Linked DNA regions of Macaca fascicularis. The protein of the gene in region 5 interacts with the protein of the main gene of each other region in a pairwise test. Links are inferred from orthologs where the notes say so. Each region holds a gene or a part of one and is shown on either strand. Other genes may lie near its edges.

Region 1 (3,958 bases), on a different chromosome or scaffold from region 5:
GCTCAGGAGCATGTGGTCAGGCCAGTTGGGATGTGGGGGGAGGCCATAGGAGTCCCCAGGCCCCACCTTCCAGGCACGGAGTGGGCGGAGCTCAGCCCACCCAGCGTGGCTTGGCCCCCAGGAGCTGCGTCGCCCTGCCTGCCCTCCTACCCGGAGGCGTCGGGCCTCGCCCTGGCGGAGGTCCTTGCGCAGGGAGAAGATGGTGTTGGCCTGCTCCTGGTGGTCCCGCAGTGCCTGCCGCCAGTCCTCTTCCAGTACCTGGATGTAGGGGCTGCTCCTGTCCAGCTTCCCCTCCTGAAGGGGGCAAAAGGCAATGGCCTGGCTGGGAAGGCCCCGGCTGTCCTGCCCGGGCTGCACCCGCCCTGCCTGCGGCCCCACCTGGACGGAGGCCTCCAGCTCCTGCACCCGGGCCTGGAGCAGGGCCTTCTGCTGCTGCAGCTCCCACAGCAGCTCCTGGCTGGGCCTCTGCTCCATGGCGTGCCTCAGCTTCAGCGTGTGCTTGCGCTCCACCTTGCAGTCGTCCTCGGCCTTCATGAGGCTGTGCTTGAGCCGGTCAATCTGCGGAAGGTCCGGTGAGCCCGGCTGTCCCCTCCAGGTGGTGACAACGGACCCACGGGGCCACCCCCGACCGCCCCAGCCTGCAGACCCCACCAGGCCAGGCAAGGGGGGCCTGGTTCCCCGGGGGCAGTGGGCGCACCTCCAGCTGCAGGTCACGGTTCCGCATGAGCGCGGCACCCTTCTCCTCGCTCTGGCGTGCCAGGCGCATGGCCAGGTCGTAGTTCTCCTCCTTGCAGCGCTTGAGCTCACGGCTGCCGGCCTCGCACTCCTCCTTGAGCCTCTGCACCCGCTCCTGGTGCTTGCGCAGCAGGCTGTCCTTCACCCGCAGCTCCTTGATGAAGTCATCCTTGGAGCTCAGCAGCGCGGTCAGGTCCTGCACCTTCTTCTGCAGCTTCATGACCTCGGTCATCAGCAGCTGAGTCAGGCCTGACTCCCCGGACGCGTCTGTGGGCCGCGCCAGCGTTAGACGGTGCCTGTGTTCCCCGGTGGCCCAGCTCTATCACGCCCTGCGCTGTGGCAGGAGCTCAGGGCTCCTAGGGATGGGGCCTGGGCAGAGGACCCAGCACCACTGCCCGCCCCCACCACCGCCTTCCCCGTCACTCACCGATGATCATGGAGAAGACACGGGCCGGCTCCTTGCCCGTGACCTTCTTGTACAGCTGTGGGTAATAGAGTTCCAGGCTCTCGAGGAAGGCCACGTAGCCCTTGTGGCCGGTCCGCTGCAGGATGTCCAAGAGCACGCCTGCGGGCCAGAGGGGCCTAACTGGGGGCGGGGCACAGGCGAGGCAGAGGGCTGGGGTGGGTGGGCCCGGGGGCAGGGACAGATGGAGGCTGGGATGTAGATGAGGTGTGCTGTGGTTTGGGTCGTGGATGAGGCACCCTGTGGGTCTTGGTACTAGGCTGGGGACAAAGTGCTGTCCACCCATCCCTTGGCTGTCTCAGGAGCCCCCGTTGTGGTGGGAGTCCCACTGCCCCTCTTGGCAGCACCGAGCTGGCAGGAGAGGCTGGGGGATAGGGTGGCCATGTGCCAGGGTTGAGGTTGGGCCTCACTGGGACGCCAGGGGCAAAGCCAGGCGGGGCTCTCCTGGGGTCGAGGGTCAGGGTGGCAGAGCGTGCAGCCACCTCCAAGCGGGCTCCTTGGTTGGGTTTGGGGCCTGGGGCCTGCGGGGCAGCACTGACCCACTTTCCGTTTGCGGATGACCAAGTTGGGGTCACTGAGCACCTGCTCCTCATCGTCGGGGTTCAGGACCTTGCACTGCCGCAGGTAGGGCGTGATGCGCGAGGGGTCGATGACCGACGTGAGCATCACCCGGAAGCCCTCCAGGACGCTCCAGCACTCATCGTCGTTCTCGTAGTCCGACATGGCCTCGCAGGCAGGCTGGGGGGTGTGGGGCAGCCGCTGAGAGTGACGCCGGCTCCTGCCCCCACCCAGGCCCGGCTCCCGCTCCTTCTCAGACGCTGGGCCTGGGCTCTCGTCAGGGCTGTCGAGGGGGTCAGCCCAGGGGCATCCAGGAGAGGTACCCGGCTCCATGTCCCATCCCCATGCTGGATCCCCCAGGGAGGCGGCAGAGACAGTGACCCGCTCCCCGCCAGACCAGCCGAGGGCCCCTCCACAGCCTTTCCCAGCCCCTGCTCCTGCCCCTTGGCCATCCGTGTCACCCAGATATGCAGCGGGGGAGACACAGATGGGGTCTGAGAGAGGAACGGCCTCCACGGCATGACTCGCCTCTGGCCTCCGCCTCCTGGACACTCCCACCACGCCCTGGAGCCTACAGGGGCAGCCACCTCCACGGGTGGGCAGCTGTGGGCACCTGCCTGGCACTACGGCCAGCCCAAGCTGGGTGAGAGCAGGTTGGCCAATGACCCTCCCACTAGGGCAGCAGCTGGGGGAGCCGGTTCTGGCGGAACTTCCCCATTCCCCTGACCGACGCCTGCTCACATCCCGCGCTGTGCCCTCCCTCCTCCATGGCCGGCTGTTGATGATGCAAGAGTGGCCACCCAGCCCTGCCCCAGCTGCCAGGGTCGCTGCACCGGCCGGGAAGAGCTGCCCACAGGAGCGTGCCTCTGTCACTCCCCGCCGGCCCCGCAAGCTGGGAGGGGCTGTCGGTGTTGCCCTTGGCTGGCCAGGAGTGCTGCTGTGCTGTTTTCTCCAGGTTCTTAGGTGACGGGCACCCGTCAATCTCTGGACTCTTCTCCTGCCCCCGATGAGGCCCGACCCCCATCCCACTGGCTGAAACAAGAGAACTACCCATGTTGGGACCAGCCACTGCTGTCCCTTTCTGCCAGCGCGGTGGAAGCCTCAGCCGCTGAAAGCCACTCCCTCTGGGACTGGGGCAAGGCTGGGAACAGCCACATGGTCCTGCCTCCCACGCAGGTCCCCGGTCCTCAGCCTCCAGCCCCACTGGGAAATGCTGGTTTCCTGCCTAAAGGAGCTGGGTCACTACTCCTGGAGACACTTGGTCTTTTGAAGTGTTTGGTCTTGGTCTTTTGAAGAATTTCTCAACTTCCCACTGTACTTTGTCACCCCATTCAGGACAGTTTTGACAGACAAGGGGCTGAATAGAAACACCGGCCACACAGCGGACAGTCCTGGGAACACTGGGCCCCTTTCCTGCCTCCCCAGCCTGAAATGCAGGGTCCCATCTGCCACCGTAATGCCACTGAAATGAACATGTCTCCGCCCAGTGGCCATGAAAGGGATGGGGCAGCGCGGCGGAGGCTGCCTGGCTGCCTGTGGGAAGCCTCATGCTGCTCTGCGGGGATCAGCGCCAGGATTCTGAACGAAGCCGGCGCCGACCTTCTTGGTCACTTTTCAGAAAAGTACCAGACCCACCCACCTGAGGGTCTTCCAAGGAGCCACCTGCACGGCAGACGCACCAGGAGCCTGGGACGTGGAGCCTCGGGGAGATGCTGCCTGGGGCTGCAGGGAGGGAGGAGCGTGCCGGACGCCTGTGCACTTCCTGATGGCTTAACTCCACAGTCCCGCCAGTCCTCCCACAGGGGGACAGTCCCTGGTGGCCTGCCTTCTGATTCGTGCAGCCCAGGAGGCCCCGAGAGGCAGACGGAAGTGGAAGTCCTCTGCCCTCCACGGGAAAACTGCTCTCAGCCCTCCCAGCCTGGCCGGGGGCCAGGGGTCCTGAGAATGCCCCAGAGGCCCAGCCCGGGCACCTGGCAAGTAGAAGAGACAGCAGAGACCCCCAGGAGGCTGGACGAGGCCAGACCGCACCCAGCCGCTTTGACCTGGTCATAGGTTTCTGGAGGCTTCTTCAGGAGGGCATGCTCTGCCCTGTGCGGACACCCTTGCCCTCGCCGGCATCTCAGGACAGCGGGGCAGGGCATGTGCAGGGGGGCACACAGCCACACAGCATGCCCAGCACACGCCTTGGTCATGAAAGGGCTG
Region 2 (3,500 bases), on a different chromosome or scaffold from region 5:
AAATATGATCCTGCCACTGAGATAAGACAAGAAATGGCATAGCAATGGATTCATTCCAATGATGCTGAGGTTTGGGCAAGCACAGAAAATATGCATGATAAGCTGTTGCAATAAGAAGAAAAATTAATCCCTAGAATAATTTTGTACCTAGAAGGTTTAGGAACACTTGACTCTCTCTGTAATTCGGAATCTTGCTTATAATTCAGGTGGATGACTTTTCAATATGGAAGCTATGACACCTTCTTGTGGTGGACATGCTGGTGGAGGTGATAGTGATGGTGGAGGCTGACGCCACCTGCTTATCCCATTCTAAAACTGCTACATGGTGGGATGTAGTTACATTTTAAATAAAAATGATTAAATGTAATTTTATATTGATATTTGAAATTTCAAAATACTTTTTGACCCGTCACAGAAATCTTTCATCTCCAGATTTGTAATCAATGTTTTCAATTAAAGTTGGATGACATGAAAGTAGATACCACCAATATCTTTGAATGTGATGCATGTGTTGTATTATGAAATGCTAAACAGACTCTTACTAAAGCATCCAGAAAATTCTAGGTGATATATCATAGTTGATAAGACCCTACCTACTAGTTAAAATAATTTTCCATTATCCATTTATTAATTCAATAAACATTTACTGAGCATTCACTATGTGTCAAGATTTTATACACTGGGAATATTAGCAAACAAGGCAAAGATGAATCTCTCTGATAATTCTTTGAAGGCGAAGGGCAACATAATTACCAGGAAGGAAGGCCCTTGTTTAAAATGCAGATTCCTGGGCCATGCTCTGAGGCTGCAGAATGAGAATCTCTAGGGCTAGGGGCTGGGAATGTGCATTTTTAAACTGCTCCTAAGAGACACCCAGTAAGAATTCCAGACTGCAAAATAGGCACATAATAAATATTTATTGAATAAATGAATATAATGCTAAGGTTAGGTAGGATATCAAGATACGAGATACCTCGCTTTCCCGGTCCTCTATCTAGAGGAAATACAGGCCCATTTTGGGGTGGACCCAAGCAGAGCCTCAGCTCTCACTATCAGAACCACTCAGAAATTCATGATGTGACTAATATACAGGTATTAGGCCTTGTGCAAATTTCCCATTTTAAAAAATTTCTCTTGACAGGCAGGTGCTAAGTTCAGTTGTCTTCCCACCTGAGGAAGCACAAGCCCTTCCACTGGCAAACACCAAAGGCAGAACCATATTTTTTTAAAAATTGATTTTTAGCACTTTTGACACATGGAAACCAGACCTTACTCATAGGGCCAACTTACCCATTAGACACAATGAGCTCAGTGCCTAGGGCCCCTGAGACTTTTAGGAGCTCACAGAATTTTTTTTTTTTTTTTTTTTTTTACGAAGAAGAAAAGCATGAATATAATGTAGCCTAAATTGTATTCAACTTTTTACCAGTAGAGTAATAACTTTTAATCCATTTAAAAAAAAATCAAGAAGCATCTCATAGAAGTCGGAATGCAGCTCTGCTTACCCACAGCTCTGGGCCCAGGGGAGAAACGCCTTACCTGGCAGGCATTGTACAGGAGCTGATGTTCGAACTTCTTGATCCCAAGAATGTTCTGGAACATCTCATAGAGTTGCTCCTTGCTCAGAATCAGCTCGGAGGCTGCGCTGGCTGTCATCCGGGCCTGCTGCTTCCGGGGGTCCTCTTCTCCACGGTAGATGGCATCAAATTTGGCCATCCAGGAGCTCAGCACAGTCTCCTTGCTGAGGCCATCAATCTCGGGCAGGCTGCGCACCCTCTTCTCAATGTGCTTCTTGAAGACCTCCCGGGAGTCGTTGGCAGAACAGCCTCCACTCTGCACCATGCGGGCCACACGGTCGCTCTTCAGGAACACCTAAGCAAGAACAGGGACAGGAAAGACAGTAAGAGAGTTGGCCACAGAGGGACCAGTTTCCTGGGGCTGGACACTGGGCCAGCCCACCTCACGTGCATCCCAGGAGGAACCACTGTGGGTCTCGTCTTGCCCTACCACCTCCTGGCTGTGCAAACTCAAACTAGTTACTTACACATTCTGCTTCTGTGTCCACATCTGTAAGATAAGAATAACACTTGTACCTACCAGGTTGTTGCAAGGGTTAAATGAGATGATACTATCATGAGAGGCAGCACATAGCACAGAGACCTCTGCCCAGGCTGCATAGGTCTTGCCCCTTAGTGGCTGTGTGACTTTGGGCAAGTTAACCTCTTTGTACCTCAGTGTTCTCATTTATAAAATGGGGATAATAGTATTTATTTAATGTTCAATTTCCTTTTGAGACAGTCTTGCTCTGTCACCTAGGCTGGAGTACAGTGACATAATCACAGCTCACTGCAACCTCCGCCTCCCAGGCTTAAGTGACCTCCAGCCTCAGCCTTATGATTAGCTGGGACTACAGGTGCATGCCAGCACATCTGGCTAATTTTATTTTATTTTATTTTTGTATTTTTGGTAGAGTCAGGGTTTCACCATGTTGCCCAGGTTGGTCTCAAACTTCTGGGCTCAAGCAACCCATCCACCTCGGCCTCCAAAAGTGCTGGGATTACAGGCGTGAATCAATGCACCCAGCATTTAATTTTTTATTTTAAATAGAGGCAGGACTTTGCTCTGTTATCTAAGTCAGACTTCAGTGGTGATCATGATGCACTGCAACCTCAAACTCCTGGGCTCAAGCCATCCTCCTGCTTCAGCCTCCAAGTAGCTGGGACTATAAGTGTGTGCCAGTATGCCTTGACAATTTTTAAAACTTTTTGTAGAAACAGGGTCTTGCTGTGTTGGCCAGGCCAGTATGTATTTTTAAATGAGGATTAAATGTGTTAACATGTAAAACACACACAAAATAGTGCCTGGCCCATATTACACTTGTTGCTGTTATTATTATTATATGTAAATGCCTGGCATGATATCTGGCACATAGCGTTAAACATTAACCACTATTTGTATCTCCTTTTATCCCTTCAATGACACTTTTAATTGGAAGTATACAAGTATCAGGTAAACATATATTTAATTATCTATCTTCCTTCCTTAAATGTAAACTCTACTTGGGCAAGGAATGTGTCCTTGTTCCTTGCAATGTCTTCAGGTCCTAGAATGTCTTCAGCAGTTGACACTTTAAAAGTGAATTAAGGGTGAACATAGGTATTATGTTAAGTTTATTTTGTAGATGAAAAACCGAGACTTCAGAGAGGGGAAGGGACTTTCCTTTGGTAACTCAAATTGTCTAACTACCAATGGATAGTCTTTTTACTTCACCGTGGTTACCTTCCTTCCCGCAGAGTTCTCCTGCTTAATGAAAACCTCTTCCGCCTGGTGGAAAATCCCTGGTTGGTCTGCTGGTGCTGCCTGGTTGAGTCCTGGGACCAAGCTTTCTATTAAGAATGTCTTACTTTCGCTCCACTGCCCACCATTCGGAAGCTTACATGAGCTACACGGTTCTGGGGTGTAATACAAGGCAGTGAAGCCGCCATTTCATATTCACGGAG
Region 3 (3,992 bases), about 9.2 Mb from region 5:
CCCTGGACCTGGGCCTCTCCTCATTCTAGGCTGAGTCCCCAGCCCCTGCCACCACTCCCCTCAACAACCTGGCCCTGAGAGCTGCTGCCTTGCTCACCTCCCCATTCCCACCTCCCTGAGCCTTTGGACAAATCATCCCCATCCCCAAAAGGCCTTCCCAGCCTGCCTAACCTGATGCACCAGCTGACAGGCTGCCTCCTCCAGGCAGTCCCTTTGAGACTTATTTGACCTAGGCTGGCTCTGCCTTCCCTAAGCCCCTGGTGACAGATGGCCCCGTTTGCTCTCCCTGTCCATGGTGTTCCTACCCATGGATCCTGGGACAGGGAACAGGGCTCCTCCCTGCTCCCCAGACTAGGAAAGCAAAGAAATTCAAACATGAAGAAGACTGGACCAGGATGCAGGCCACTGGCGCAAACGGCAGCCCAGAGCCCTCCAGGGCGAGCCCAAAAACCTCCTGGGAGAAACCCCAGGCCCCTCCTAAACCACAGCGCCCCTGCCGGTCTGAATCTGGTTCATTCATTTGGCCAACGTGTACCAGGCGTCTCTGGCTTTGCCAGGCCCAGTGCTGGGCGCTGGAGACAAAGAGAGGTTCAGACAAGTCGGTCAGTGAGGAGCACCCAGTCCAGGGTGGTTACAGACCCATAATTACAGCAGTTGGGAGGCAGCAAGTAAGTGGGGGAGCACTGGACAGGCCCCTACCCTGCAGTGGCCCACCAGCCAGCCCTCACCTGAGCACACTTTATCCATTGATCCTGCATGGCTTCCTCATTTCCCCTCTGATAGATGAACTCCTAGGCATCCCTCAAAACCCAGTTCCCACATCACCAACCCCTGGCATCCCGAGAAAGAGCACTTGGCATGCTCTTCCTGTGAGCAGTCCTCTGCTACCCTTCCAGACGGGCCTTCCTGAGGGGAGGAGGGTCCTCTCTGGGACCTCCAGGCCAGGCAGAGATACCTGACGACCTCTGTGGAATGGACCCCAACATGGGTCTTTCCACAGTCAGCCAAGATGCTCTCCCGCCAGGCAACCTTTCTGGCCTCCTGAGGCCTGGGCTGGACACCCACAGAGGGGTGCTTTGCACTGACTGTCTTAAGCTACATTTAGAATGGCAGGAAGGCCCACTGCCTCGTGTCTAATGCCAGGACAGGGAAGACTACACCTTGCTCAAAGAGGGAAATGCCCCAAGTACTCAGCAGGATGGAAAGCAGGCCAGACCTGAGGAGGGCAGGGCTCCCAGCCGCGCACGCCTCAGGCACAGGGGGCTCTGACGACAGAGTGGGCGTGGCCTGGAGGCAGAGGGCTGGACTCAAAGACCTCTGGATGTCCCCCCACCCCCCACCAGGGCCTGCGCCCCTCCAAGGCCTGCTGCTGACAGAGTCAGACAGCTGTCCAGAGCCATGTGTAAAAATACATCTGTGCACACACAGGGTGGTGTACGTCTGCACAGAAACGTATACACCAGGCCAGTACAGGGCTGCCTGTGGAGGCGGAGGGACCCCAACTTCCCACAGCCTCCGTACCTGCCACCTGCCTTTACCATAAGCACATATTCTTGCTACTGTTATTATTTAAGTCACAACTTAAAAAAAAAAAATACTCTGTGTTTCGAAAGGGTTCCTCCATCTGCCTCCAGAACCCTGGTGTATGATAAGTCTATACAGCTCCGGGGAGAGGGAACCGGGCCTCCACCAATGCACTCCGCCCTTTGCTTGGATGAGGGACTCAAAGCAGTCAAGAAGTGGCCACCTGGAGCAAGGCCAAGAGACCCAGGAGTGAATGTGGGGCGGCCTCTGGCTACAGAGCAGGGGCCCAAGCCAACCCCGCTTACCACAGCAGCACTCAGGGGCCGTCCCGACAGGACCAAGGCTCGCTAGCGCCCCAGGATACTCAATCTAAGGGGCAAGCCCCAGCTGCCCTCTAAGCCTCGGCCTCTGGGACGAGCAGGCAGGACCTCCAGGGCCCACCCAAGACAGGAAGCAGTTCCGGGGCCCAGGAGGGTCAGTCCTTTGTGGCTAGCCTGGGTACCCCGCCACCACGTACAACTTTTTGTCCGTGGGAAATGAAGTCTCCTTCCGGGGCCCTCCCACAAACTTGAAGGCCGGCCGCGGCGAGCCTTTCTCCTAACCCCGGGGCACCTCCGCCGGCTGTCTCGCTGGCCCAACGCCCGGGGAGCCCCACGGCCCGCAGGGGCACCCCAAGCCCCAGCCCCAGGCCCGGCAGCGCCCCTTCTCCCGGGCCCCGGCCTCGCCGGGTGGAGCGGCCTCCCCAAGGTCATGAGGGAGGCTGGGGCCGGCAGCCTGCACCCCTGGCGCCCGGCGTGGGGCCGCCCTCCCTTGGCCGGGCCCGCGCGCCCCGCGCCCTCCCCGCCCAGGCCCGCTCGGCCACTTCCTGCTCCCGCTCCTCCATTCTGGCGGCGCCGCGGCTCGCGCCCCGGCCCGACCGGCCGGGAACAAAGCGGCCCGGCCCGCGGGGAGGAAATCCGGGCCCGGGCGGCCGCGGCGGGCGGGGACTCACCGGGCCGCCGCGTCCGAGCGCGAGCGCGGGCCTAGCCGGGCCGCGGCCTCCGGCGCCCGCCGCTCCGCATCCCCGCGGGCCGGCGCTGGGCGGGGCCGGGCTGGAGGCCGCGGCGGGCAGGGGCGCTGCTCGGGGCCGGGCCTCGCGTGCTGCTGCCGCTCGGTGCCCGGTGCCCGACGCTCGGTGCTTGGCCGCCTGCTCCCGTCCTTCGGGCCGCGCTGGCTGCGCTGGGCCGGCCGCCTGCCGCGCTCGGTCCTGCCGCCGCCGCCGGCCCGCCCTCTCCCCGCCCCGCGCCCGCCCCGCGCCCGGAGCCGCCCGCCCACATCCGCCTCCGCCGCCCGGGGCGTCCCCACCGCGCGGCCGCCCGGGCCCGCGGCGAGGGCGGAGCGCGCCCGGGAAGCGCGCGGCTGGGCTGAGGGGCGGCCCCCGGCGGCCTAGGGCCTGGGCTGGGCCGCTAACGGAGCCCGGCCACCAGCCAGCCCGTCCCGGGGCCACGCCTTCTCTGGCCTCAGTTTCCCCATCTGTAAAGTGACCCGGCGCTTCTGGACTCGCTCTGCCCTGACCCTACTAGACCAGGCCCGAGACCGGTCAGGGACGAATCCCGGACTTCTGCCTCCACTGCGCGGGGCGGGGGTGGGTTAGGTTGACTTTCAGGCCGTGCCCCACCTATGCACTGCCCCACTCTGGGGGGCGTGGAGGGACGGCCAAGAGTGTCCTAAAAGGCCCAATCCCAGGACCTTGTGCCTCTGGGGGAAGTGCGGAGGTCAGTTGGAGGTGTGCCTCCAAGGAGCGGGAAGGCTCCGAGGGGACTCAACCATTCACCTAGGTACTGGCAGCTACACTCACAAAAGGGAGACTTTGCTGGGGAGTGGGAGAAGAGGGGCACACCTTGCCTGGGTCCCACCTCGAGCTGGGAGCAGACACCAGACAGAGGAGGAGCGGTGTCTAGGGTGGGCTGTGACAGCTGAGAGCCCAGGACCCTCCCTGCTGGGTGGACTTGGTCAGCCCCGACACCCAGTCCGAAGTCCACTGGGAGGCAGATGGCCCCGGTATGGAGTGAGTGAATGGGACACAGACCCCCTTCTCCTGCACACTCACAGGACGATGCAGGTGACTGCCACCCCGACCCCTTCCCAGCCAGAAGTTCCTCCAACAACTGCCCCTCCCCCATTCCAGAGGCCCACAGTTGATAATAACCCTTTTGTGAAAGAGGGACTCTTGTGAGTTAACCTTCCTGAGGCTAAGTATTGGGGTGGGGGGAGCATTTTTATTTTCAGCCTGAGTGACTTCAGCTGGCAGCAGGGGAGGGGGTGGGAGGAGATGTAGACAGAGGCAGCAGGTTCGGCCCAGTGCTCAGGACAGAGTCTGCAGCCAAAACTGGGGCTTCATCCCTGCCTCTTGGGGCTGACCAAGAGAAGGACTCTCTCCCGCTGCATGGGGGCACTGGCTCCTCAGGCAGGGGACTCCCCATTCCTGC
Region 4 (3,928 bases), on a different chromosome or scaffold from region 5:
TTTCAAGGGAGTGGGGGTGGGAAGGAATCTGATTTCAAGGTAACTTGATAAATTTACTCACATGTAATCTGCCTCGAAGCTCTCGGTCATTTCTCATCTTCACATAAATTCGCTCATCTAGGCTGAGCCTGATAAGATCCAGGGGCTCCTCTACAGTGTTGGTAGTTTGTTGCTGATAACAGAAACAGGTTTAGTAATATAGTACTAGAGATAAAGTAGTGCTTAAATCACTGCTATGCTGTATGACCATGTGCAAGTTATTTAACCTTTTTCTGCCTCAGTCTCCTAATCTGTAAAATGGAGATAATAGTGTCTACCTAATACTGTTTTTATGAGGCTTAAGTGACATATATGAAGGCTTAGAACAGAACTTTTCACATAGTATGTGCTATATAAATGTAGATTAAAACACGCATACATAAGAAGGAGTTACACAGCAAAATAATCATGACTATACTTTGTTCCCTCAAAATCCAAACTGCCTGACCCGATTTCAGGGTATAGGGTCTTAGGAACTTTAGCTTTATCTCAAATATTATGTAATCATAGGAAAAACACTCACTTAATGCCTACCATATACTAGTCAGAATGCCAAGTAGAGGTGTAGGTTTATGGGAAGATTATGAATTCAGCACAGGTTGAGGTTAGGCTGCCAACTGGCCAGTAAGATGAATATTTAGTAGCCAGAATAGAACACTGGTTCAAAGCACTGGCTTAGCCGGGCATGGTGGCATGCGCCTGTAGTCCCAGCTACTCCGAGGCTGAGGTGGGAGGATTGCCTGAGCCTGGGAGGTGGAGGTTGCAGTGAGCCAAGATGGTGCCAACAAGCAAGCAAGCACTGACTTTGGAGTCAGGCAGTCTGGGTTCAACTCCTGGCTGTGACCTGACACTTATGAACTGAGATTAAAAATCATGCCATCTGTAATTCTCAGATTCTTCATTTGTAATTGAGAAAGCCACAACCTTCCTTCTGGATTCTTATGAGGATGAAACTAGTTAATGCATTTAAAACAGTGCCAGGAAAGCAGAAAATATTAATACTTAGAAACGGTTCCTTTTGGCTGGGCGTGGTGGCTCAGGCCTGAATTCCAGCACTTTGGGAGGCTGAGAAAGGCAGATCACCTGAGGTTAGGAGTTTGAGACCAGCCTGGCCAACATGGTGAACCCCGTCTCTACTAAAAATACAAAAATTAGCCAGGCGTGCTGGCACGTGCCTGTAGTCCCAGCTACTTGGGAGGCTGAGACAGGAGAATCGCTTGAACCAGGAGGCAGAGGTTGCAGTGAACTGAGATCACGCCACTGCACTCCAGCCTGGGCGATAGAGTGAGACTCCATCCAAAAAAAAAAAAGAAAAGAAAAGATTCCTACTAATATTATATTATTAAAGAACTGCTGGAAACACTGGTTTTAGAGGTCAGGGCTAGGATGACTTGGGGTCACCCACATGGAAGGGAGGGTTGCAGCCATTAAAGAGTTAGATGATTCAAGGAGAGCTTCTTTAGTAAGCACACAAGGCCAGTGGAGGAAGGTAACTGAATTCGTAACAGGCGCTAAAGATTCAAAAGGCCCGATGAGAGAAAAAAAAATAACCTAACTCAACTGGTCCCTATGTCCCTCAGTTCAACAGGTGTTTGTTAAAGGATCTGATAACCAACTGTTAGATTACAATGATACAGAAGTCACAATCTCCACCCTCAAGGAGCTCATTCTAATGTGGATAGGCATATGAATAATTATAATACTGTAAGAATATGCACATGACAGAGCTCTACTGCTACCTAAGCCTCTGTCTGGGATGCCCACTTTCTGTTCTTTTTCATCCTGTAGCTTTATACATTGGCTTTTAAAAGAGGCCTCCTCTGATCATCTAACTCATTCACTCAAATATTTGTTGAGTATTTCCAGCACTGTTCTAAACCCCAAGGACAAAAGAATGAACAAAACAAAATGCCTACTGTTATGGCACTTACATTCTAGTCAGGAGAGATACACATTAAACAAAGATGCATACATTTAATATGAAAAAATAACGTTCTATGAAGAAAAATGAGGCAGGGTAAGCAGAGTAGGGGGAGTGCTATTTGGGCAGAAGTCCTCTCTGAGGAGGTGAGATTTCAGTAGAAAGTTTAAGTTGTAGCATGATCTCCAAAGATATTTGAGGAAGAAAAAGACCAGGTGAAAAAGCTTCTAGGACCATCTGTTATTCTGCATACCAGTTCCTTGTTTCCTTCATAGCACATCACAGTTCCTATAAATCTTACATATTTATATTTATCTGTTCTCCTCGCGAATATAAGCTCCAAGTCATGGCAAGGATCACTTATATATCGATGTCAGTGTCCCTGGCTCTTAGAACAGTGTCTAACCATACAAAGCTGATGTTCACTCTCTCTGCTGAATGAGTAAATAATTGTTGTGCTCAGTAATAACAACTCCTAACTTTATTATCTGGCTTTCTATTGGAATCCTGACAGCTCCGTGAGGTAGGCACGCATAATAATTTACAGATTTAAAAAAACAAAGCGAAGAGTGTGATGAATAGTCATCAGGTGGCCTTCTAACGGAAAAGACCTCAGGGCCTGCAGCAAAATTCGGACAGGGGTGTTTACGGAAAGGATGGGGCGGATTAGGCCGTGTGACTTGGAAAGAAGAGGCGCGACTGGCCATTTTTCCTGCGTTTGGAAAAAGCAGTTTAGTACAAGAAGCGGCGCCGAGCCACCGCCTTAAAATTCACTCACCTGGTCTACGTCGTCCGCCATGTTTCAAACCCTGCGCCCTTTCCCGCCTCTCGCGAGAACACAAGAGCAACGCCGAGCTCCGGAAACGTGATGCTACAATACACCGGAAATAGAAACCTGCTGTGCTCTTGCCTGCTTCCCGCGGTTTTTTAGTGGCCACGGGTATGGGGCGGAGCTTCCTTTGGGGGCGTGACTAGGCCTCCAACGAAGGGGCGCGGCCAGACGCGCCCGCCTCGGGGCGGGGCCTGCGTTCTAACGCATCGCGGCCTGGTGCGTCACTCGCGAAGTGGATTTTTCCCCGACAAGCAATATGGCTCGGAAGCGCGCGGCCGGCGGGGAGCCGCGGGGACGCGAAACGCGCAGCCAGAAGTCCAAGGCCAAGAGCAAGACCCGGCGTGAGGAGGAGGAGGGTGAGAGCGTGGCCCAGCGGGCTTCGCGGGAGACTCTGCCGGTGGGCGGAGGAGGCCCAGAGGCAGGGGCGGCGGGAGTCCAGACGCGGAGGCCGGGTGGAGGTTGCTGCGCGCGTTCCGCGCAGTGGGGGCAGCACGGCAGGCCGCGGCCGGCCCTCCCCGCTGTCCCTGCGCCTTTGTCCTCTGCACCCAGAGCGGCTTCCCGTGAGCCTCGCCCGACCCAAGCTCCTGCGTAGCTTCTTTCCCGCTCCCCGTTGTCCAGAGGATACAGCGCAGATGTTCAGGGTTGAACGCGGAGAAGGCAGTTATTTGTGTCCCAGGAAAACGGACGGACGGACCAGGACGTAGAGTGATGCAGTGTGCTGACTCCCGAATGATAACTTCAGCTGAGTCTCGCCCAGAGTTCCACAGTGGGATCCCACCTGACTTCCCCTCGTGGATATTGGATAGGCTTCTTACATTTGTCGTGGACAGTGCAGAGCTCATGGTCTTCCCCTTCAAATCTATGGTTTCCTCCGTTTTTCCAGTCCCAATACTTGTTATAAAACAAAGTCCACCTTTTTCTTATGTGCACACATCCAGTCCCGTCAGCAAGTCCAGTCAGTTCAGCCTCAGACTGTATTTCAAATTTGTCCACTTCTCTTCATTTCCATGGCCACAACCCCTGTCCAAGTCACCATCACCTTTCAGTTGAGTGACTGCAGTTTCCTCTTGACTGGCCTCCCAGCTCTGCATCCAGCAACGCAAATAATCTTTAAAAAAAAAAAAAAAATCATGCCA
Region 5 (4,248 bases):
GCACTATTTAAACTGGACTTGTTATTTCTCACCTCAAAGCTCTGGCCTGGGCTGAGACCTCTGCAACAGAGCTTATTAGCGAGCTTTTCATCATGCTCTGTGGCTATCTGGGTCTGAAGTCAAGAGCCATTCACAGGAAAATCAGCGTGAAACCTATAAGTTTGCATATTAAGTATTAACACTACTAAGGGCTACAGTGGAAAAGAGGTTTGCTGAGCTTAAGGGCTCTCGCTCCACCCCCAACTGCCCTTGACTTTTCTCTTCTATGTTGTATTCCTGGTAAATCCCGTTATATCTCGACTACCTTAGGCCACCTCAGCTCTTTCTTGGGAATTAGGCTGTCTGGATAGGCAAAGAGGCAGATATCCAGCTGTCAAGTGAATCAGATGTCCTCATCAGATCTCTTAATTTCCACTTTTGTGATATTTCAAAGGATCACAGATTATTTTCTTAGTGCCTGGTCAGAGAACCAGGAAAGAGCTAGAAGGTGAGACACCAAACTCCGTTCCATGGTGATGTTTGAACCAGGTTGGAGCTGGTTTCACATGTTTTTCATTGTGCATGACTTTCTTAATTGCCTTAGTGGGAATGTGTTACTGCAAAATAAAGTGAAATTGTTTTCCTTATTGCTTGTAATTTACAGAGGGATGGTTTTGATAATATAAACCAAGGACTTTTCAAATCCATTGATCTTAGGGTGGAAGGAGGGGTTTCTTTTTAAGTATTCATTTTGAACTATGCTTTCACTAGTAAATTCAAAGCCCAAGGGGAAAAACCCATGTTTCTCCGTTTTGTAATAGCTATTAGATGTCCACAGCATCATCAGACCTGCGGAAAACGCATGCTTTGTGTATGGAAGACGGAGCGTCAGGAGTTGTTCTTTGCCAAGAAATGGACCCTGACACTCAAAGGCACAAGCTGGAGGAGATCCAGGGAACCCGGGAAAGCCCAGGCCTAACTCAGGCCCGCGTGGGTCTCTTCTGATCCCAGAAGATGAGGACTGGGTCCCGGCTCTGGGCATCCTAGTGTCGACTGTGAGTTCCCAGCAGAGGCCCATAGTCCCGGTCCGGCAGCCGAGGGAAGCGGCGGGGTCTCCCAGAAGAAGAAAGGGCCAAGGTCACCCCGGGTGACTCTCCAGCAGCAGCGGAGGGCGGCGGTCGGGGTCGCTGCTGGCCGGGGCCTCGAGGAAGCCGCGGGTCAGCCAGGGCTGGGTCTCCGTTCCCAGGCGCTGCCACCGTTCCAGGGAGCCAGTCAGGCCGGGACGTAGCGCCTGCGTGGGACCCTCACTTGCCACCGGGACCTCCACAAACCCCGCCCCATCCTGCCTTACGCCCCGCCCCAAGGTCGTCCTCCCGACCCAGGGTCCCGCCCCAAGGCCGTCCTCCCGCCCCGCCGCTTGGTGGCGGCCGCATGCTGCCCGGATATAAAGCGTCGGCCCCATATCCCAGGGACCAGCGAGCAGCCTGGAGAGGCTCTGGCTCTTGCTTCTTAGGCGGCCCGAGGGTGCCATGGCCGAGTGCCCGTTACGTGGGGAGGAAGTCACCGACCACCCGGACCGCCTGTGGGCCTGGGACAAGTTCGTATATTTGGACGAGAAGCAGCGCGCCTGGCTGCCCTTAACCATTGAGGTACAGCCAGCTCTGGAGCGGATGGCGAGGCAGCAGGGGCAGCCCCCGGGAGTTTGAGATGCCCTAGGAAGGGTGAGGCCTTGAGAAGCACCCACTGTGGGGCAGGGAGGATCCCCACAGATGAAGCCACTTTGAGCCGGGCTCTGGAGGATGAATAGGAGTTCTCCAGGCAGGGAAAAAGGGTGGGAAAACCGCAAAGAAATGTCGGCCAAAGGAGGGGACCCAGTGCCTGTGGAGTGTGACTATAATGTTGACTACAGCAGGGCTTTTCTGGGCTTCGGGGTCCTAATCCTTAAAAATGGGTATCTCTAAGTGACTCATCCATACGGCCGATTATCGGAATCATCTTAGGTGGGTCCCAGAAATCTGTATTTTAAAAAGAACCCTCAACAGCTCAAAAGAACACGTCAACCAGGCATAGCAACCACTGCCCTAGAGTGTGAAGTATTTTCCATGACCTCTGTGCTTTATTTAGAAAACAAATTTAACAAGTGATGTCGTAGTATAAGCGCCGGTATTGAATCAATATTGACTTTGTTTTATGTGTGATGCCTTAAGATGGGTCCTTAGTCCATGTTAAGTTTTTGTTAAACAAATATATAACTCTTTTACAAGTATTTGGATTTACTCGATGAAAAAGAGTCAAAAAATGTTCAAACTCTTTCCAAACATAGACTGAAGAAAGCATAAAAAATTAAAACAAATTAGAACATGTATGTCCAGTAGCAAACAATCAAAAATTATTGAGCGTTAACTGTGTCTCTACAGATGAGAAACTGAGGCACAAAAATGTACATTTGTCCAAGGTAGGGCTGCTAGTAGGTAATGGGGTTGGAATTCTAGGCTGTTAACCACCACCAAAATTTGCATTTTTATTGGCACTTCAATTTTTTAAATATGTTTTTACTTTAATAATCAAGTTAAACATTTACTTTTTTAAAATCAAAATTTGAAGAAATAATCTGAATATTCGGTGAATTTCTTTTTTTAAATCTCTGGTTGAGAAATCTCTTCAACGTGACACCAGAATCATAAACCAGACAATTTTTCATATAATCATGATAAATGCCACACAAAAACCCGCTAGCAAACTGTGGGACAGATTTTGCCTCACATCATTGAAAAGGCCAGTATTCTTTTTCTTTCTTCTTTCTTTGTCTTTTTTTTTTTTTTTTTTTTTCCGTAGAGACAGGGTCTCGCTCCGTCACTCAGGCTGATCTTAAACTCCTGGCCTCAAGCGATCCTCCTGCCTCGGCCTTCCGAAGCACAGGAATTACAAGTGTGAGCCACTGCAACCCGCCAGAAAAAAAGTGTGCCTTTCATGGCCCTGTCTGGGTGGCTAGACACATGTGCGTGCTGGTGATCCTGGCCCAGCCAGAGTCCCTGAGAGGAGCATGCATGGCCTAAGGAAGTGAGCTTCAGGGAACAGTGATGACCGTCATTTCATACTCGGACCCCTGCCCAGATGGGTGGGTGGCTGGCAGGAAGGACTCTGGTTTTCTGTGCCTGGAGGAGCCCTGGCAAGCGGAACCTGAAAGTATGCCCTGTGCTCTTCTTCTCCTCAGATAGAGGATAGGTTACGGGTGCTCTTTCGTCAGGAAGACATCATCCTGGGGAATCCTATGACCCCCACCCAGATAGGCCCAAGCTTGCTGCCTATCTTGTGGCAGCTCTACCCTGATGGACGATACCGATCCTCAGACTCCAGTTTCTGGCGCTTAGTGTACCACATCAAGGTGAGTGTGCTTCTCCCAGGGATCCATCGGGTGATCTTGGGTTTCCCCTCCTCCGTGTCTGGCCTTAGTGGTTTATCTTCCCTCCATCCCAGTCCCAAAAGCATCAAAAATTGGGGGGAATGGACAACTGAGGATTTCTAAAGGACTTTCCCAGAGAGAAGATAGATCCTCTGAGGTATCTAACAGAACCCTACCTCCCCTTCCTCCCAGCCCCCCAGCTGGCCGCAGGAAGACATCTCCCGTGGGCAGCCACAGGCTGAAGGCTGGTGGGAGGAGGAGCAGTCTCCGAGAGCCCCTGAAATTCACACTTGGGTTCCTACCTGCTGTTTCCAGCTAGGGGAAGGCGCAGGAGTGAGGAATGGAGGGAGTGGAGGGCTCTGGCCGATCAATGCCTTCTCTGTCTGCCTCTCAGATTGACGGCGTGGAGGACATGCTTCTCGAGCTGCTGCCAGATGACTGAGTGTGGCACGGTGAGCTCCACTGACCAGGGCTTGACCCCTCTTAGTCCACAGTGGCTGTACCAGAAGGAAAGACCACCCGTTCTCCATGAAGGCAGTGCTAACCCCTCCCCGACTGCTGCCATCTCAGGCCTCCCAGGGATGGGAGAGTCTTCCTGGAGGCACCCATGTCTCTCCCTTACCACTTTGGGAGCCCCCTTTATCGCAGCTGCTCATATCTACACAGTACTTCACAACTTCACGTTTCAGCGAGTACTTCAGTTCCCATTGCCTTTTGTTTTTTTTTGTTTTGAGTCTCGCTCTGTCGCCCAGGCTAGAGTACAGAGGTGCAATCTCAGCTCACTGTAAGCTCTGCCTCCTGGGTTCATACCATTCTCCCGCCTCAGCCTTCCAAGTAGCTGGGACTACAGGTGCCCAACACCACGC
Region 6 (3,937 bases), on a different chromosome or scaffold from region 5:
TGTTGCCCAGGCTGGAGTGCAATGGTACAGTCTCAGCTTGCTGCAACCTCCACCTCCCGGATTCAGGCAATTCTCCTGCTTCAGCCTCCCGAGTAGCTGTGGTTACAGGCATGTACTACCATGCCCAGCTAATTTTGTATTTTTAGTAGCAGCTAGGTTTCACAATGTTGGTCAGGATTTTATTGAACTCCTGACCTCAGGTGATCTACCCACCTCGGCCTTCCAAAGTGCTGGGATTACAGGTATGAGCCACCTCACCTGGCCCTCTATTCTCTTTATACCCCTCTCACTACCTCTTTGCATTTTTCAAAAAATTACCTTGCTTCCAGGAGGACCTCTGTTGACACCAATAGACTGGGCTATTTACAATGTTCTCTCACTTGTTTCTTAGACTTCAACAATTTACCTACTCTATCAGTGCATCTAGATCCACCTTATTCTTTTCTAAAAGTATCTAGTATGTTATGGTAGTACAAGTTGAGTACGCCTCACCCAAAATGCTTGGGACCAGATGTGTTTCTAATTACTGATGTTTTTTTTTTTTCTTTGGATTTTGGAATATTTGCATTTACTTCCTGGTTGAGCATCCCTAATCTGAAAATCCGAAATCCAAAATGCTCCAGCCAGTATTTCCTTTCAGCATCATGTTGGCGCACAGAAAGTGTCAGATTTGGGGGCATTTTGGATTTTGGATTTTTGGATTAGGGATGCTCAACTTGTACTATATTTTAACTGTTCTACCAATGGAGTGGTTGTTTAAAAGATTCTCCCTACTAATGACTTTGTAATTGTTAAATACAGTGGCTGTTTTCCATCTTGGTATCCAACTTGCTGTCCCTGTAGCATCTGACACTTCTGATGACCTCTTGACACCGCCCCTCCCGCTCAACAATGCTCTGTTCCCAAGGCACCCACCACCCTGCCTGCCCTCCCACCCTTCAGCGTTCTTTCTCGGTTCCTTCAACCGGCTTCTCCCCCACAGGCAGCCTCCTACATTTGGGACTTTCCAGGCTTCCATCCTTAACAGTTGCTTTAATTGTTTTTTCCACATTCACTGAGCATTCCTGAACATTAAATATTATTCTTTCTGCTGATTTCCAAATCTCTCCAATCGCTCTCCTGAATTCCAAATGTGAATTTCACAAATTGCCTACAGTGCAGCCCGATCTGTGGGCCTTACAGGCACTGCAGACTCAATTTGTCCACAATGAACTTAGTGATTGCCCTTTTTGCGTTTTAGTCTCCCTCCCATCCATCACACCGCTAGGCTTGCCCCTCCTCCTGGGGCAACTGGAATGGTTTTTGTAAAAGCATAAATCGGATACAATGATTCTTTTGCATTTGATATGCGGGTCTCCGCCTGCAGTCCACATGTCTACTCCTGTGTACCCTTCAGATCTTAGCTCAAAGGTCACCGCGGAGAGGCTGCCCTGACCACCTGAGCAAAAGCATCACTCCCCGCTTCTCCTCCAATTACCCTCTATCCTGTTACCCTCCTCCTATTGCACATCTCTACTGGAAATTTTCTCTATTTGTTTACACACTGCTTGCCTGTGTCTTCTCTAGAACGCAAGCTCATGAAGACAAGGCCTTTGTCTTTTGCACCCCAGCGCCTACAACACCTTCTGCAACCCAGCAGGACAATCAACTTGTGGAATGAATAAATAAATCAACTCCTCATCCTTTAAGAAGGAAAGGGCCTGCTGTTAAATTAAGCACTGAGCCCCACATTTCAACCTGACTGGTTCTGTCTGAGTGTGTCACGTTTCCCTCCCCAGCCCACTTACTTTAGTTCAGGCCATTCATATTCATAAACAGATTATCTGTGAACGACAAGCTGATCCCTGGAAAGAGATGGCAAGTTAGCTCCACCCACCATCCTCACCACCATTGAGTTTCACATTGAACTTGACACAAGTTATAACCACCACCTTCTAGGAAAACCACTTCTCAGGGAGCAGGGAGGACGCGGCCACAAGGTCAAGAACGGATTAGATCCTAGCACACTGACCCTCTGGCTGACACCGCCAGGAGGCTCAGTTCTGGGAAACCAGCATCCCACACCCTCCCATCCGGACACACTGCTAGATATTTTACATGCATCCTCCCAATTCGCTCCGGAGCCCAGCCTGCTGTTGCTCCCTTTTACAGACAAACCATAGGTCCCGCAGGAGCGTGTCCCAGAGCTCCTGCAGAGGCCTCCACTGCCAGAGAGCCCCCCAACCTGGGTACCAAAGGCTTCAGAGCTCAAGCTCTGTCAACTTGAGCTACTTTATTTCCTGGCTGCCTTCAAAACCCCTCAGTGTCCTTTTTAAAAACAAAACTTGAAGCCCGCTCTGGAAGAGGAGGCCCAGGAAGAAGGAGGCCTACAGAGCAGCACGCGGGTGTCTCGGCCCGGCCGGCTCCCAGAAGCTGCTCCCCGTGGCTCGCTGGGATGGGGACGGCTGGGCGCCGGCGGGACGCTGCAGGAGCGGGCTACCGGCCGGAGGACGCGGGGGGACGCTGGGAACTCGGGGTGAAGGGACGGGACTCGGCGTTTCCTCAGATTGGGGGCGGGGAGAGGAGGCCAGGGTCTGAGGATGGAAGCGATCCCCGCCAGGAGGGAGAACAAAGCGGTGGCCCGCTTTCTCTCCCGACGCACGGCAGGCATTTAATCTACAAGCAGGGTGCCAGGGAGGGAGGGGAGCGGGGCGAGCCCCAAAATCGGGAGTTTGCATTTACCACGACGCCTCGCCCGTAGTCTGGCGCCTCCTCGCTGCTCCCGGCCATGTTTCTCCCGGGGAACGCGGGAAGGGAAGACGGCGCGGGAAGGAGCTGGGAGGGCGAAGGTTGCGTGGGGGAAGGGACTTGGGGATGGGGACCCGGCCGCCCCGCCCCGCCCCGGGCCCGCCGGCTGGAAGCAGCGGCCTGGCGCGGATCCAGGGCCCCGGCGCGGCGCCCCCTCCCCTGGCGAGGCCGCGGGGGCGCGGGGAGCAGCTGCCAAGCCGCGACCGCTCCCCGTGAGCGCGGGCCCCGGGCGCGTCCCTCGCGGCCACCGCTGTCGCCGCCGCCGCCTGCCGGATGGTCGCCTGCAGCCCCCGGCCTCGCCGCCAGGCCCCGCGGGGACTCGGGAGCACGAGGCAGCCCGCGGCAGGAAGAGAACGTGTCCCCCAGGCCCCTGCTTCCCAGATCCACCGTCCTAGCCCTCGGGCTAACAATCTCCTTGGCTCTTCCCTGCCAGATTTCATGCACGCGATTGTCCCAAGCAGAAGCGTGAAAGAGCCTGCGAGCCGGCGTGCTCTTGGAGGATGGGCAAGTGTCCTGGATGTGTTTTCAAACCCTGGAGCCGCCACCCACCTCTCTCCACCTCCCCTCACCTCCCTCCACTTCCCCTCACTTCCCTCCACCTCCTCTCACCTCCCTCCACCTTCCTCCGCCTTTCTCTGCCTTCCCCCCATCTCCCTCATCCCAGGGCCTGGAGCTGGAAAGATTACACCCGATTGCTTTTAGGGTGGCCCAGATCTGCAGGGATCAGATCTGGGCTTTCAGGATCCGGCCTTTCAGCCTTTGGTCAACTGCATTCAGGGGAGGAGGGGGAGAGATTTTTTCACATTCTCTGCTTTACCAGTTTTGCAAGAACATCTGGTCAGATTGTAATTGTTCCAGGTTGCAGCTTTATTAAAGCAGTCACTCTCTTCTGATTAGAAATCCTTCTCGTATGAGTCTGTTGTTCATTTCAACCCCTCTCACATCCCTGTGCTCCAGTTCTTTGTCCACTCCTGCAGGGTCCTGCTTTTTCTGGGTGTGTCTTCAGTCCCCAGGTCCCTGACATCTCATCAGCATCTTCATTCACTCAACCCAATTCGGGTTGAAGGCCTGAATCCAAGAGAACTGAACACAGTTTTCCTGATGCAGGCCTCTTTTGTTCATCTTCGGATTCTGGCACACAGAGGGGAGA
Region 7 (4,061 bases), on a different chromosome or scaffold from region 5:
GGTGGATCACCTGAGGTCAGGAGTTCAAGACAAGCCTGGCTAACATGGTAAAACCCCGTCTCTACTAAAATACAAAAAGTAGCTGGGCATGGTGGTGCATGCCTGTAATCCCAGCTACTTGGGAGGCTGAGGCAGGAGAATCACTTGAACTTGGGAGGTAGAAGTTGCAGTGAGCCAAGATTGTGCCATTGCACGCCAGCCTGGGCAACACGAGCAAAACTCCATTTCAAAAAAAAAAAAGAAATAAAGAAATATACAGGCTGATATAGGTGAACCACAAGCTTTCCACAGGAACTGAGATTTTTTTTTTAAACCTGGAGGACTAATGGATTATAAATTATGCTGGGGAATAAGGACAATGCGAACTCTCTCCCCAGACTGATCATAATATAGGAGAATGAGTTTCCCATGTTTGAAGATGATTATAAGTATCACAGGGGAAGATGGCTGAAAACGGGAAGTGTGGATATTATGGAACAGAAGTTGAAAGGCACACAGTGAGGACAACCTGAGAAAATACAGATCATTAGGAAAGACTCACAAGATATCAGTGTAAGACAAGATTAAAAAAAAGTCTTGTATTTATGATTATCCCTAATGGTAACAAGAATGATGACCACGTTTTCCGGTTTCAAGTTTCCAAATGAAACTTTCTTTATTCATAATGTGAGGCACCAGGCACTGTGGGAACCCTACTAATACTAAAGGAAACCTAGTGTGTTTACTGGAGGCAAATTACAATAAAAATCATTGATCAAAGGAAAAAAAAAAATCATTGATCAGATCTGTAGATTATATGAGGGGCTGTGATAGGGTCGGAAGGAAAGGAAAAAGTGAGATACAGACCTACAGATTTTTTTAAATTCATAGGTCATTCAGACTCCGATTACCCTCCCCATCTTCCAACCCAAACCACTGTTACAAATGCTGGGGACAAGCACAGGTTAAGGCCCAAGGTGGTGGTTCTCAACCATATGTGAAAAAGCCATGCACACTGTTGCCTCAGGTGTTTGAGTCATTCTCCTCCACAGATCCCTTGAGACCTTCTAGAGATCAGAGGCTGCAGAGGCCAGGACAGAATGAGGTAATGAGGGTGTGGGAGGCCTGATGCCACTAGCAATCGACAAGTTTAACCTGAAAGAGGGAGACAAAAATACATTCCTCTCAGACAAAAAGAAGAGTTAATATTGAGTGAAACATACAGGCAAGTTCAGGGATGGAGGGAAAGGAAAATGAGGAATTTCATGCCCTAAGCTTCACATTTCTCCAGCAAACAGCGGCTAGTCATCTGCTCAAAGTAAAAGGAAAATAACATATCTGAGTTCTTGAGAAAAACGGAAAAGATCTAAAATAGTTACTGCGGAGATAAGGAAAAGCAACAAAGGATAAATAGAGATACCAAACAGTAGTATCAAGGGCCCACTACGGTGTAAAAGCATGAATCTGTTATCAAGGCCATTAGCGAAGTTTTATATTTTCTTCAAAAGTGTCTGGAAACCACAGAGTACAGTCAATTTCAATACACGGTAAGCGCTACAAGAGAGTAAACAAAGGATGCCATGACATCAGAGAAGGGACACTTGAGGCTTTCTGGAGGACTTAAGCTTTGAAGTAAACTTAGCCAGGCTTAAAAAGGTGTGTGAATCCTAGAACATGCAAAGCACTTTCTGCACTGGAAAATTTAACACTCCCAGTTGTTTCAGATATCTTAAGCCGTACGAGTTTATTGTTCCTCTGTGACTATCTGAACATGAAATGAAAACTTCTTATGAAGGAGGGTTTCCTAAGTCTAGTTAGAAGCCCGAGGTGCCAACATCCTAGACTTAACATTTTTTTACCAGAATAAGAAACCATGTGGGTAAACCACAATCACACCGGTTTCATGTTCATGTTAAACTCATGAAACCAGACAAATTCAACCTTTTATACAGCATTATATTTCAGGAATGGCATAACAACTCTAAACAACGACGCTGTATTCTAAATTCCTGTACTGTTACAATGATCCCTATAGTAGGCGCTCAATATCTGTTGACGGCTTGACATTTACCCAGCTGCCAGAGAGGGCTTGTCTTGACTGTCTGAGGATGCAGCACCCAAAGGGAAAAACCACTACATGAACAAGATCAGGAAATCACAACAGCAACCTTCTGGGTAGAAGGAGGTATTCAGAGGTGAGGAATCCAAGAAACGATTTACCAAAAAACGCCACCGCAAGAGAAAAACCAGTATTAGCGACTTTCCCTTCATTGGTCAACAATAATAAAAATGCTCAGAAAGGCTGCCCCGGACGTCACCTGCGCGTGCACGGACCGCCCCGGGCCGCAGACACCTCTCCAGCGGGGAGCGGCCGGCTCGACCCGCCCCTCCCACCGCGCAGCGAACGTTGCGGCCGCGCAGCCTGGCGAAGGTGCCACTGCGGGCCCGACCCCTAGACTCGCTTGTCCCTGGAGACCAACCCAAGCGAACAGGCTCTACCGGATTCCGTCGGGTTTCTACTCCTACTCCGAAGGTCCTTTCTGCCCCAATCACAGCACCCACTCGCCTCGTTTTCCTCCTCTTCTTCAGCTTCCACCGCCGACCGGGCAACCCCAGTTACCTGATAACACCTCCCAAGGCCCCGTGTTTACATTCTGGCCCACTGGAAGCAGAAATTATCACGCCCAAATTCCTACCTGCCTGCCCTGGATCCCTGGTTTCCTAAGAAACGGGTTTGGCCCACCCCGGGGCGTTCGAACAGTCCACAGAAGCAGGCAAAGGAAAGACGACTCTGTCTTTCTCCTCCGCCAATCCCTTCTCCGAGACCACAAATCCCAGAAGTCACCGCGGCCGCCCCCACCGCATGACCTTCTGGGATTTGTAGTAATCAGGGCCACGCGGCTGGGCGCGCCCTCTGACAGCAGCACCGAATGACCGCAGCGCAGGAGCGCGGGAAAATGAGGCTGCGCGGGGTGAGGAGCGCACCAGGAGGAGCCACCCCAGCGGTACCGCGCAGCGTCGCGTCCAGTCAGTGGGGAATAAGGTGAGGGGAAAACGATTTTACGTGATTCAAAGGATTAGGATATGCTCCTGCCTAATAGCCTAGCTGATGAGATCGGCCAGACGCAGAGAACAGCGAGGCAAAACTCGGTTATAAAGGGCTCGAGGCGGCGGGGCGGGGAAGCTGGTCAGGGAGGCTCCAGGCTGAACTGCAGCCTTCACGTGAAAGTTACAATGAGTTGGACTCGGAAGGCAGTATTACGGCCTGAACGTAGCTGTGCGTCATGTCTTGAAAATAAACGAGCACGGCCGGGCGCGGTGGCTCAAGCCTGTAATCCCAGCACTTTGGGAGGCCGAGACGGGCGGATCACGAGGTCAGGAGTTCGAGACCATCCTGGCTAACACGGTGAAACCCCGTCTCTACTAAAAAATACAAAAACCTAGCCGGGCGAGGTGGCGGGCGCCTGTAGTACCGGCTACTCGGGAGGCTGAGGCAGGAGAATGGCGTAAAAACCCGGGAGGCAGAGCTTGCAGTGAGCTGAGATCCGGCCACTGCACTCCAGCCTGGGCGACAGAGCGAGACTCCGTCTCAAAAAAAAAAAAAAAAAAAAAAAGAAAAGAAAATAAACGAGCACATGTAACAAAGGTAATCAAGATTGTTAATTTATACACTCGTTTTTGGAAGTCATGCTTTCTCGGCCTCAGCGCCATTAACATTTCAAACTGGATAATGCTTTGTTGGGGGACGGGGTGTCCTGTGCATTGTAGGGTACTTAGCAGCATCTCTGGTCTCTCCACGGGATGCCACCACTGGTCAGTTGTGACAGCCAATGGTTTCCCCAGACAGTGAAATTTTCCCTGGAAGAAAAACCACCCCTCCCACCCTGCCCCATTGAGAACCATTGATGTCGACCAACATTGTCCTGAGGGTCACCGACACTCTTTCAAAGCCAAAATTATTTTCATACTAATATGAAGACGTGATTTGCCCTTTGCACAATGCTGACGTTTGCACTCATGGTGGAAAAGCAACGGCAGGTCAAGGTGCTGGCGCCTCCGCAGGAATTACAGTAATGACACCA

Evidence for each region.
Region 1: the proteins of TCL1A (region 5) and CARD9 interact in binary tests that used the Homo sapiens proteins (3 or more experiments, as listed by UniProt). The two-hybrid records come from large-scale screens. The link is inferred for Macaca fascicularis from reciprocal best matches to the Homo sapiens genes TCL1A and CARD9.
Region 2: the proteins of TCL1A (region 5) and CADPS interact in a two-hybrid assay, tested with the Homo sapiens proteins (3 studies listed by BioGRID and IntAct). The two-hybrid records come from large-scale screens. The link is inferred for Macaca fascicularis from reciprocal best matches to the Homo sapiens genes TCL1A and CADPS.
Region 3: the proteins of TCL1A (region 5) and AKT1 interact in binary tests that used the Homo sapiens proteins (3 or more experiments, as listed by UniProt). The link is inferred for Macaca fascicularis from reciprocal best matches to the Homo sapiens genes TCL1A and AKT1.
Region 4: the proteins of TCL1A (region 5) and LSM3 interact in binary tests that used the Homo sapiens proteins (3 or more experiments, as listed by UniProt). The two-hybrid records come from large-scale screens. The link is inferred for Macaca fascicularis from reciprocal best matches to the Homo sapiens genes TCL1A and LSM3.
Region 6: the proteins of TCL1A (region 5) and PRTFDC1 interact in binary tests that used the Homo sapiens proteins (3 or more experiments, as listed by UniProt). The two-hybrid records come from large-scale screens. The link is inferred for Macaca fascicularis from reciprocal best matches to the Homo sapiens genes TCL1A and PRTFDC1.
Region 7: the proteins of TCL1A (region 5) and TTC33 interact in binary tests that used the Homo sapiens proteins (3 or more experiments, as listed by UniProt). The two-hybrid records come from large-scale screens. The link is inferred for Macaca fascicularis from reciprocal best matches to the Homo sapiens genes TCL1A and TTC33.

The regions. Positions count from the first base shown.
Region 1 is NC_088389.1:2,998,080-3,002,037, reverse strand, and holds the start of CARD9 (caspase recruitment domain-containing protein 9), read right to left. Parts: upstream 2,801-3,958; 5' UTR 2,090-2,800; coding exon 1,738-2,089; intron 1,301-1,737; coding exon 1,163-1,300; intron 1,003-1,162; coding exon 698-1,002; intron 559-697; coding exon 379-558; intron 295-378; coding exon 151-294; intron 1-150. UniProt on the Homo sapiens protein: Adapter protein that plays a key role in innate immune response against fungi by forming signaling complexes downstream of C-type lectin receptors.
Region 2 is NC_088376.1:125,862,583-125,866,082, forward strand, and holds part of CADPS (calcium-dependent secretion activator 1), read right to left. Parts: intron 1,873-3,500; coding exon 1,540-1,872; intron 1-1,539.
Region 3 is NC_088381.1:172,986,869-172,990,860, forward strand, and holds the start of AKT1 (RAC-alpha serine/threonine-protein kinase), read right to left. Parts: upstream 2,801-3,992; 5' UTR 2,516-2,800; intron 1-2,515. UniProt on the Homo sapiens protein: AKT1 is one of 3 closely related serine/threonine-protein kinases (AKT1, AKT2 and AKT3) called the AKT kinase, and which regulate many processes including metabolism, proliferation, cell survival, growth and angiogenesis.
Region 4 is NC_088376.1:152,443,168-152,447,095, reverse strand, and holds the start of LSM3 (U6 snRNA-associated Sm-like protein LSm3), read right to left. Parts: upstream 2,801-3,928; 5' UTR 2,760-2,800; coding exon 2,739-2,759; intron 173-2,738; coding exon 62-172; intron 1-61. Other genes in the region: XPC (DNA repair protein complementing XP-C cells), read left to right, coding at 3,049-3,148. UniProt on the Homo sapiens protein: Plays a role in pre-mRNA splicing as component of the U4/U6-U5 tri-snRNP complex that is involved in spliceosome assembly, and as component of the precatalytic spliceosome (spliceosome B complex).
Region 5 is NC_088381.1:163,769,734-163,773,981, reverse strand, and holds the start of TCL1A (T-cell leukemia/lymphoma protein 1A), read left to right. Parts: upstream 1-1,448; 5' UTR 1,449-1,508; coding exon 1,509-1,628; intron 1,629-3,193; coding exon 3,194-3,364; intron 3,365-3,776; coding exon 3,777-3,824; 3' UTR 3,825-3,834; intron 3,835-4,248. UniProt on the Homo sapiens protein: Enhances the phosphorylation and activation of AKT1, AKT2 and AKT3. Promotes nuclear translocation of AKT1. Enhances cell proliferation, stabilizes mitochondrial membrane potential and promotes cell survival.
Region 6 is NC_088383.1:25,733,691-25,737,627, forward strand, and holds the start of PRTFDC1 (phosphoribosyltransferase domain-containing protein 1), read right to left. Parts: upstream 2,801-3,937; 5' UTR 2,770-2,800; coding exon 2,722-2,769; intron 1,845-2,721; exon of another isoform or gene 1,788-1,844; intron 1-1,787. UniProt on the Homo sapiens protein: Has low, barely detectable phosphoribosyltransferase activity (in vitro). Binds GMP, IMP and alpha-D-5-phosphoribosyl 1-pyrophosphate (PRPP). Is not expected to contribute to purine metabolism or GMP salvage.
Region 7 is NC_088380.1:41,051,788-41,055,848, forward strand, and holds the start of TTC33 (tetratricopeptide repeat protein 33), read right to left. Parts: upstream 2,801-4,061; 5' UTR 2,680-2,800; exon of another isoform or gene 2,676-2,679; intron 1-2,675.